Arabidopsis thaliana: one gene and its partner. The protein of the gene in region 1 interacts with the protein of each later gene in a pairwise test. Each region holds a gene or a part of one and is shown in the gene's direction. Other genes may lie near its edges.

Evidence for each region.
Region 2: the proteins of EYA (region 1) and AT2G36340 interact in binary tests that used the Arabidopsis thaliana proteins (3 or more experiments, as listed by UniProt).

Annotation. Positions count from the first base shown.
Region 1 is NC_003071.7:14,866,230-14,871,088, reverse strand, and holds EYA (eyes absent-like protein), read left to right. Parts: upstream 1-2,207; 5' UTR 2,208-2,324; intron 2,325-2,686; 5' UTR 2,687-2,701; coding exon 2,702-2,932; intron 2,933-3,028; coding exon 3,029-3,196; intron 3,197-3,275; coding exon 3,276-3,369; intron 3,370-3,449; coding exon 3,450-3,620; intron 3,621-3,755; coding exon 3,756-4,015; 3' UTR 4,016-4,257; downstream 4,258-4,859. Other genes in the region: AT2G35330 (RING/U-box superfamily protein), read right to left, coding at 210-1,910; AT2G35310 (Transcriptional factor B3 family protein), read right to left, coding at 4,685-4,859. UniProt on the Arabidopsis thaliana protein: Possesses phosphatase activity toward para-nitrophenyl phosphate (pNPP) in vitro. Possesses phosphatase activity toward several phosphotyrosine-containing peptides in vitro, with low peptide substrate specificity.
Region 2 is NC_003071.7:15,233,629-15,238,534, forward strand, and holds AT2G36340 (DNA-binding storekeeper protein-related transcriptional regulator), read left to right. Parts: upstream 1-1,858; 5' UTR 1,859-2,229; coding exon 2,230-2,448; intron 2,449-2,537; coding exon 2,538-2,825; intron 2,826-2,912; coding exon 2,913-3,050; intron 3,051-3,174; coding exon 3,175-3,282; intron 3,283-3,369; coding exon 3,370-3,861; 3' UTR 3,862-4,276; downstream 4,277-4,906. Other genes in the region: AT2G36330 (Uncharacterized protein family (UPF0497)), read left to right, coding at 1-512, 909-1,044, 1,476-1,670. UniProt on the Arabidopsis thaliana protein: Probable transcription factor. Involved in stress responses. Plays a repressive role in cell expansion by counteracting the positive role of CPR5 in this process, but does not regulate cell proliferation or endoreduplication.

The DNA of each region.
Region 1 (4,859 bases):
TCTAGCAGCATAGAGAGAAAGACTTGGCCCATGAAAAGTATTTACAGGAATAATAATTCCTTGGAACAGATAATTAGATGCGCTTTCAAAGAGAAGGGTTCATTATCTTATGTTCTAACTAAATGGACTTCCACAGGTTATAGTGTCAAAAATTGTGAAGAACCAGAAAAATCTCGGTGTGTAAACGAAGATAATGCATTACTTGGTACCTCATATTCTTTTTCTTCCTGAGTGATCTGAGCTAAAGCTCTATTGAGTGCCTTAATCTTCTCTTTCTCAGCTGTAATCTCGTCCTGCAACTTCATTTTCTGCTTCTCCCACGCCAGTAGTTTCTTTAAGCATTTTTTCTCTTTCTTCGAGGCCTCCATGCATGCCGTGAGCGATTCTGATGCACTTAATTTGGAAGCTTCCATTTCCGCCCGGATTTCTGCACTTTCGTTCTCAAGTGCCCTTACTACCGCATTTGCCTTGTCAACTTGACCGCTAGCTTTTCTAAGAGCATTTTCCATCTCTGATAATTTTTTCAAGGTTGAGTCCTCACGAGTTTGTTTCCCCTTTTTCACCCGCTGAATTTCCTCTCTCTCACTCCTCAACGATTTAAGCTCGGACAGTTCATCGCTGACCTTTTGGGCAGCTTGCATTGCCTTCTTCTGAGCCCAGTCTTTCCTCTCCTTCAATTGCTTTTTGAGATCCTGAACCTGCTGAAGTAGTCCTATTAAAGCATCATCCTTCAGCTCCTCAGGTGCCGAATCAACATTGTCATCAAGGTTCAGATCCCGGAATTTCTCCAGCACTGAACTGAAACATTCTTCACTTCCGAAGACATGTGGCTGCTCACACTTCTCTGAATGTGTAGCAGCAGCCGTGCAAGACAAGCTAGTACCACTAGTTTCAGACTGCATTTGCACCTGCTTCTTTTGCTCCATACTAGCACGATACCCAGCAGCAAAGGCTGCAACATTCTCTCTCAACAAAGACTTCATCGAAGGTGAGAGATTAAATCTCCTTGGACAATCAATCTCTCTCTGCAACGTTAACTCTTCACTGTGCAAAGAAAACCCATTACCAGAAAACTTGGGTCCTTTCCCATTACCAAAACCCCAACCTCCATGGAATCTACACAATGCCGGAGCAATAGCACCACCAACCCCATTTACAGTACTACTAGCACCACCAACCCCTACATTACTACTATCCCCTTTTCCAGAACTCGGTATATCCATAGTACTCGCCCTCCCAACATGAAGCTCACTCATTAGCAAACACCACATTGCATCACCTTTACTCAAATTAGGTTTAACTTGTTGCAACAAATAAACCATACCCGCAAGTGAATACTCCTCCAACTGTCTCAAATCCGTAAAAACCGTCTCTGATTGATCCTCATTGTTCACATTACTACCTTCACCAGTATTACTCTTAAGATAAGCCAACGAATTATGAAGAATATTAGTCATAACATCCATTCCACCATAACAATACCCATTACTAAGAACAGCTCTCAACGCCACATCCTCATCATAACCAGAACCCACAAGCTTCGAAATCGCTTCATTGTATAAATACTCCAAATGTTTCAACAAAATATCCTCTAATTGCTCCTCCGTACAATAACCCCAACCATTATTATCCTCAAAACTGCCACTAGGGTTTGACTCTGGACACGAATCGAGAAGACCCGGATGATAAACAAGATGCTTAAGACTCGATTCAACAATCGATTTCGATAGAGCCGTCCTGTCGAGCAAACAACACGGATCGAATTCGGGTTTCACGGATCTGGTCTTCCGGTTTGGTCTAACATGCTTCTCCCTCACAGTACAACCCATCAGAGTTAAAGCACGTCTATGTATATATGAGAATCTGAAGGAAAAGAAAAATTCCACAGAGATTGAAAGAGTGAAGATCATTGAATCCCCACAAATGAAACACAAAAACCAAAGCAGGATCAGGAGAAATGGGTTTTAATTGATGGCAAAATGATTAATCAATCTTACAGATTATAGATACGAGTTTAGAAGTACTTACTGATCGGCAGTTGTATTTCTCAGCTGAGAAGAATCAAACTTCGGTAGAGAAGAGAGGAGAAGAGAAGCGAAGGGTCATGCAAGAGAAAAAAAACAAGCTTTCTTCAGTTTCTGGTGGTGTGTGTGACTGTTGAACATAATGGGCCTTTAATTGGGCCGAGAGCTAAATTATACTAAACGACGCCGCGTGGCTCGCTGTTTACTTTCGTCTGTGATCTTTGAAACACACGCATCGTCGTCACTTAGCTCCGGAGCTCTCTATCTTTGGTCATCCTCCTATCGGAATCGGCAGCGCAGGTATTGTTTTTTAGGTTTTGAACTTTGTGTTATCTGTTATCAATCCTCGTTTGATCTGAAAGTTCTCATTTTTGTTAAATTAAATTCACCTAGAATCGTTAATCGTAATTTCGTAGGTTTTGTTTAGTGAAATTAGTCATGGGTTTGCTGAAAAGTTTGCTCTTTTTGGGAGTTTTATCGCTTTTGTTTCCGCCATGAAACTCAATTCAATCCACATGCTCCTGATTGTTTCATCATTGAATTAGTAGCCAATGTAGATGCCGTGAATGAGTTCTCATCGATTCTCAATTTTGTTGCTCCTACTGAATCCTTTTGTCGATTGATGTAAGATGTGATCTCTGGTTTTAACTTGTTATATTCAGGGAAGAGGGCAGATTATGAATAATGATACATCAAAAAAGCTGGGAACTTTGGTTTCTGATGATGGACCAGTGAATGTATATGTATGGGACATGGACGAGACTCTTATCTTACTTAGATCTCTGTTAAATGGAACTTATGCTGAGTCTTTTAATGGCTCCAAAGATGTTAAAAGAGGTGTAGAGATTGGGAGGATGTGGGAGAAACACATACTTAAGATCTGTGACGATTTTTTCTTCTACGAGCAAGTAAGTCTTCTCTTAACGATAAGTTCAGAACGGGAATGATGAGATGCCCTCGTAAACTCTGTCACCTACAAAGCATTAGTCTTGTGTTCTTTGCAGGTTGAGGAATGCAATGAGCCATTTCTTGATTCATTGAGACAGTATGATGATGGAAAGGATCTTTCTCGGTATGAGTTCAAACAAGACGACTTTAGTACTCCTACTGATGACTTGAACAAGAGGAAACTTGCGTACAGGCATCGAGCTGTTGCGGAGAGATACGAAAAGGTACTGATATGTTTTTACATGTTTTTTGTTGCTGATGTTATATGACTCAAGTACAAATGTCATCTCTTTATAATTGCAGGGTTTGTGTCCATTCATTGACAGCGAATCGATGAGTGGGTTGGATGAGTTGTATAATGTGACTGATGAATACACAGACCGGTGGCTTTCTTCGGGTAAATGTCGAATTGTCTGCTTCTTCTGGTTATTTTCTTTATCGCGTCCACTGCTTAGTATGACATTGTATTAATTGCAGCAAGGGCTTTCTTGGAGCAGTGTTCATGTGTGGAAGAGTCTAGTGATGGAACAAGTGCAATCGAACAAAGCTCTCAGGATATACATATTCTAGTGACTTCCGGGGCCCTCATACCGAGCCTCGTGAAATGCCTGCTTTTCCGGCTAGATACATTCCTAAGACATGAAAATGGTAAGCTCGGAGACATCTCCTTCAATGGGATATCTTAGCTTCGGATTCACATAGTTGTTGCTACTCTGCGAGCTCCGTCATGCATTTGCATTTCTATGTTAACTACATCATTTAACTCTTTTTGCCTTTCTTCAGTGTACAGTTCAATAGATGTGGGGAAGCTCCAATGTTTCAAATGGATCAAGGAGCGTTTCAACCACCCAAAATTCAGATTCTGTGCGATCGGGGACGGATGGGAAGAGTGTGCAGCCGCACAAGCCTTGCAATGGCCATTCGTTAAGATCGATTTGCAACCGGATAGCTCCCACAGATTCCCTGGCTTAACACCTAAGACTGTAAGCTACTACTTTGCTGCTGTATATGGGAACTCTGATGCTGATTCCAGCAAAGAGTAACTCTCAAAAAGCTTTTTCTTTGTAAAATATGCAAGTAAACCCAACAAAAGCCATGGCTTTTCATATTCAAACCCAACATTGTTCATAGACTTGAGTTAAGTCAGCATTTGGTATTTATAACTAAGCAGTTCTCTTGGCTCGTTCAAATGTGTAATCATCTCTTTCCTATAACATAACATCAATATCAGACTTTTGATGTTAGGTCTCTGAAAGAGTTAAAATTTCAAATAGTCTTCACTATTAATCCTTATAGTTTGTTGGTTGGTGTCTTTGGCTTTAGAAGAAGAGAGACCAAAAACGGAAATTTGGACCAAGGTAAACTTGTTTGAGACACAAATTTTTCTGAGAAACTTGATTGTTTCGATTGGTTCATGTTTTTCAGGAACTTAATCTATAATACAGATCTGAATCTTTTGATGATGAACAGTTGTAATACATCTGCCTCAGTAGAGAAAGCAAAGTAAAGCCAAACGGAAACAACAAACACACAACATATTAAAATTGGTCCCAATCATATCAAGCTACATAGATCCATCCGATAGACATTCTGAACTTAAAACCGAACTAAGTCATAACATAAAACTAAAACTTAAGACAACACTGATAAACAGTCTTTTACTCAGTAGACACCTTCACATTCATCATCACTATTCACTAGTGAGTCTCCTCTTAGGGTTTTGAGACAAAGAGAATCAGCTCGTGTTGTTTGATGAATGAAAACTTGCAAGTGTCTCCAACTGCTAGAGGATATTCTTGAGCCAAACCTTTCCATCCAGCAGAGAAGCTTGATTTCGTCCCTGACACCACGTAAACCACATTCCATGACTTCTTCATATTTGGGTGA
Region 2 (4,906 bases), 370 kb from region 1:
CCAGCAAAGACGATGCCGTCGATGTCACCTTCTTCAGTTTCCACGGAGAAATCTCCACCTCCGTCAGATACTTCAATGGCTATAGTAGCTTTCGATAACTCCACTACTCACTTCTCTTCTTCTCCATCGCCGCCACATTCTCTTGATCATTCCAGTGAATCGGAGAAGGAAGATGCGAAAAGTAAACCCGAGAGTAGAAGAAACAAGAATCCTGGAAAGGTTGAGGAAACTCCATCTCCGATTGTGGTGGTTCATAATCACAATCGCTCTGTGAAAGAAGTGGTTCCGACGAGAAAGAGTGCGAGAGTTGGTTCTGGGAGAAGTAGTGGCCAACGATCTGGAGCTGTTTCGGCTATTTTGAGAAGGTCTAGGAGAGAAGAGGTGGTAAAGTTTTCAGCTTTAGGGTTTCGGTTGAGTGAGGTTGTGTTGGCTTTGATATCTTTCTCAATTATGGCTGCTGATAAAACTAAAGGTTGGAGTGGTGATTCTTTCGATCGTTACAAGGAGTACAGGTAATTATTTGTTGTGTTTGTGCTTATTTCTTCGCAGATAGTGATGTTTCTTGAATTTAGGTTCAGGGTTTATTTTAGGGTTTAGGGTTTTATCAGTATCACTAGTGTTGGTTTTTTGATAAGAAATTTGGATTACTTTAGTTTTAGTACATGTGAATTGTCTTTAACACTTGCGTGGTCCAAGTCTATGTTTTGGTTGAACTTGGTGAAGTCCTTAAAAGAAGTAAAGTTTGTTCCTTTTGACATTGATTTTGATTTGTTGGATCGTAAGAATTCATTTGCAGTTTCCATTTTGTTGTTTTGGTCAAACATTTGAAGTCAGTTTAGTATGATTTGATTTTTGATTTTGAGACTAAACTGATTTATCTATGTGTCATCTTCTGATATCTGTGACAGGTTTTGCCTGTCTGTGAACGTGGTTGCTTTTGTATATTCTAGTTTTCAAGCATGTGACTTAGCGTACCATCTTGTCAAAGAGAAGCATTTGATCAGCCACCACCTTCGACCTCTGTTTGAGTTCATTATAGATCAGGCAAGTCATTAACACTTATGCTGTACTCTCGATGGTATTCCTTTGTTACTTTCGTTCTTGTATGAAGTATGATCTACGTGGTTGCATCTAGGTGATGAGAAAAACTTGGCTATAGATAATTCCTGATACTTTGACTTGCACCATCTGCTGGTATTTACCCTGTCTCCTGTGAATCAAAGAACAACACTTTGTGGTTAAAGTCCAATATTGTTACTCTTTTTCTTTATGCTTTAGCTTATAGCATATGTGGAAAGGGATTTATCTTATAGGTCGGAAAACATGGTGAAAGTGACTGTTATACTTGTTTGACCAAACTACTCCCTTCATTACATAATTGAAATCTCTTTCGTCCCCTGCAAAACATTTCAAAAGCATGTGTAAAAACAGATGGAATTATGAATAAGAAAGGTTTGTTTTGTTTGTGCAATCAGGTACTTGCATATCTGCTTATGTCTGCCTCAACAGCAGCAGTCACTCGCGTTGATGATTGGGTTTCAAACTGGGGAAAAGACGAGTTCACAGAGATGGCAAGTGCCTCGATTGCTATGTCCTTCCTGGCCTTCCTTGCCTTTGCTTTCAGTTCCCTCATTTCAGGCTATAACCTATTTAACCAAGGCTCTCTCTGATCCTCCCACCTTTTTGTATAGGTCCACACTCCTTGTGTGATGTATAATAAAAATGATCAATATATCTTAGCATTGTAATTATTATACTATTTTTGTAGCCTATATAAAGGTTTCCAAAAACTATGAGGTTAATAAGAGAGGCATATCCTGTTGTCAAAAGGGTCTTTATAGCCAACTAAATAAAGACTCTGACAGAGCAAAAGGCAACAACTTTTCAGCTCTTGAGCCATATGAGTGTCCTCGATTGTAAATGAGACCTCAGACTTATCCATTGTGCATCTTGAACCCTGAAGAAGGAAGAAGAAACCATCTTGCACAAGCCCAATGTTTAAAAATGGAAAAGGGTATTTTAGTCATTTACGTTTTCGACACTCGGACTTCCTAGTTCCTACGCCTGGAGAATATCAATAGCCGCCAAAGGATTGATCGTGCTTTTGCTTCGTATCGTCTCTGGGTTTTTAAATAGAGAGACTCGAGAGACTCTGTTTGACAATAGGGTTTTGAGCTTTCTGAGAGTTTTATATAACTTGACAAAGTTTTGATCTTTCATCACCGATCAATGGTTGGTACGAAGAGAGTTGCTGATTCCATCGACACCAACTCGGATGACACACTCACGAGGAACCGTGAGGTTGAAGTTGAGGCGATGCTCAGTAGGAGAAAGCAACTAAGGACAACAACGACGAGGACAACAACGACGAGGACAACACCATTGAGCTTGTCTTCCTCTGCTTCAAAGATGAACTGGTCTAAAAACGATGAGCTTGTCATTCTCGGGGTTAGTTAGTAAATTCTTTGCAGCTTCTCTATATTCTTCTTTATCCTCTTCTAACTTTTTTTACTCTATTTTGTGTGTGTGTGTAAAAGGGTATTGTGGACTATGAGAATGAAACGAAATTGAGCTATAGATCTGACTGGGATGCCTTGTACCGTTATATCAAAGATTGTGTAGAAGCAAAGTTTTCGAAGATTCAGCTCATCAATAAGGTCAAGAACATGAAGAGAAAGTTTACATACAATCAGGGGAGATCTAACCATGGGGAACAACTTTCTTTTACTAATACTGATGATGATGAAATCTTCAAATTGTCATTGATCATATGGGACAAGAATGAATCAGAGTATGTTTCTAATGAGAATATAGACCAAGCTAAGGTGAGTGTCTTTGTTCTGTTTTTCAACAATCTCTTAGACTACTAATGTGCAATGAATTAATGATCTTGTTTTCTTGATTTGCATAAGGATGTTCCTTCTGGTGAGCCAGAGACTAATGATGTGCCTTGTGAGGAGCAAGACGATAGGGATGTGCCTTGTGAGGAGCAAGAGCGAGCGAATATCGAGATTGATAATGGTGTGAGAGAGAAATTGGACCAAGCCAAGGTGAGTGTGTTAGTTCTGTTTTTTCTACCAATCTCCTTGTTACCATCTTAAAACATGATGTAAAAAATTGTGTTACTAATGATGTGCAATGAATTAATGATCTTGTTTTCTTGTTTTGAATAAGGATGTTCCTTGTGTGGAGCAAGAGAGTGAGGATGTGCCTTGTGTGGAGCAAGAGCGGGTGAGTATAGAGATTGATAATGGTGAGAAAGAGAAATTGGACCAAACCATGGTGAGTGTGTTTGTTCTGTTTCTACCGATCTTCTTATTACCACCTCAAAACATGATTTATTGATCTTGGTTTCTTGTTTTGAGTAAGGATTGTGAGGAGCAAGAGAATACGGATGTGCTTTGTGAGGAGAAAGGCGATAAGGATGTACCTTGTGAGGAGCAAGAGAATAAGGATGTGCCTTGTGAGGAGCAAGAGCGGGTGAGTATCGAGATTGATAATGGTGAGGAAGAGATGAGTAGCGAAGAAGATGGTGTGGATGAGGTAGGTGTTATGGAGGACACACTTGATTCTGGGATATCGTTTCAAGGTTTAGGTAAAAATGGTGTGAAAGACAAGAGTGAAGAAGATGATGTGGTTGAGTTGGGTGTTCTCCAGGAGATATTTAAGGAGGATACATTTTTTCAAAGTTTAGGTAGATATCAACAAAAATTGCTGCTTCAGAATTTGGAAAACGTTGGAGTTGAAAGAAGAAAAGAGCTCATCAACGAATGGAAGGCATTGTTTGTTGATGAGCAGCGATTGTGTGTCAAGAAACTAACTTTCGCCGCAAAGCTTGCAAACTTAGGAGTTTCTCCTTGATTCAATGAAGAAAAATCTCTGCTTTTGGAATGATCTCATTTTTTTTTGGTTGTGTCATATTGATAAGAAAAAACATGATGTATCCACGATCCGTTCTTGTTCTAGAGCCAGGTAACTGAGGTAAGTAACAGTTAGAGCTAACCATAGCAGATTCTCCTTTTTTTAGTGTTGTGTTTGTTTCGACTCTTCCTTTTGGGTTGGGCTTCGATAACGATTGTTCAGGCCCACTAACATTCTTTTCTTATTGTGCGTCTGTCTCTTTCGAGAAAAAGACACAAGCACTTAAAGCCAAGATTCGCATTTTGCCACATGCCACTAATTTCACCTTGTGTTAGATATTATTTTTGTACTACACACTCAACGAAGACCATAGATCAACTCAAAATATTTATTACACAACAATTATCGGAGAAGAGATTGATGTGAAATGTAATGAAGACGAAAAGAAAATAAAAAAAGAAACGACGAATTTGGACGTAATTTTCAGCCAAAACATATGCTTTGGGTCCCACACTTTCACATTTCAACTTTATCATCACACCGAAACACTAAACACCAAAATCCCCGACAAATTTAAAGAAAATTTTTCCATTTTTTTTTTTTACTCTATCTCTGTGAGAGATTCTCTTCAAGCTCAGGCCTTTAGGCTTTAGGTTTCTTTTGGGAGTCTTCTTGAGCTCTGTAATCACTCTCTAGAAGCTTATTTTGCCTCCTAATGTTATTAGGTACGTCTTTGTATCTGTACTTGCTTCTGCATTTTTCGATATTTGTTTCTTTTGATGAGATTTGGGGACTCTTCCTTCAGAAGGATTTGAAGATTTTGACATCTTCCATTAAAAGTTGAATCTTTACTTAAGCTAGTGTTCTTAGCATTCTGTTTATGTTAGCTTCATGAGATCTGGGATCTCGAGGCTGCTTTTTTTTTTTGCTTTGATTTCACATTTAATGGGTTTTGATTACATTTTCATTAGGTGAAGTGAGTTGAACTTGGCTTGTGGTTTTGATGAATTTCTTTCTATTAAAAGTTTTGGTTTCCCTACCAAAA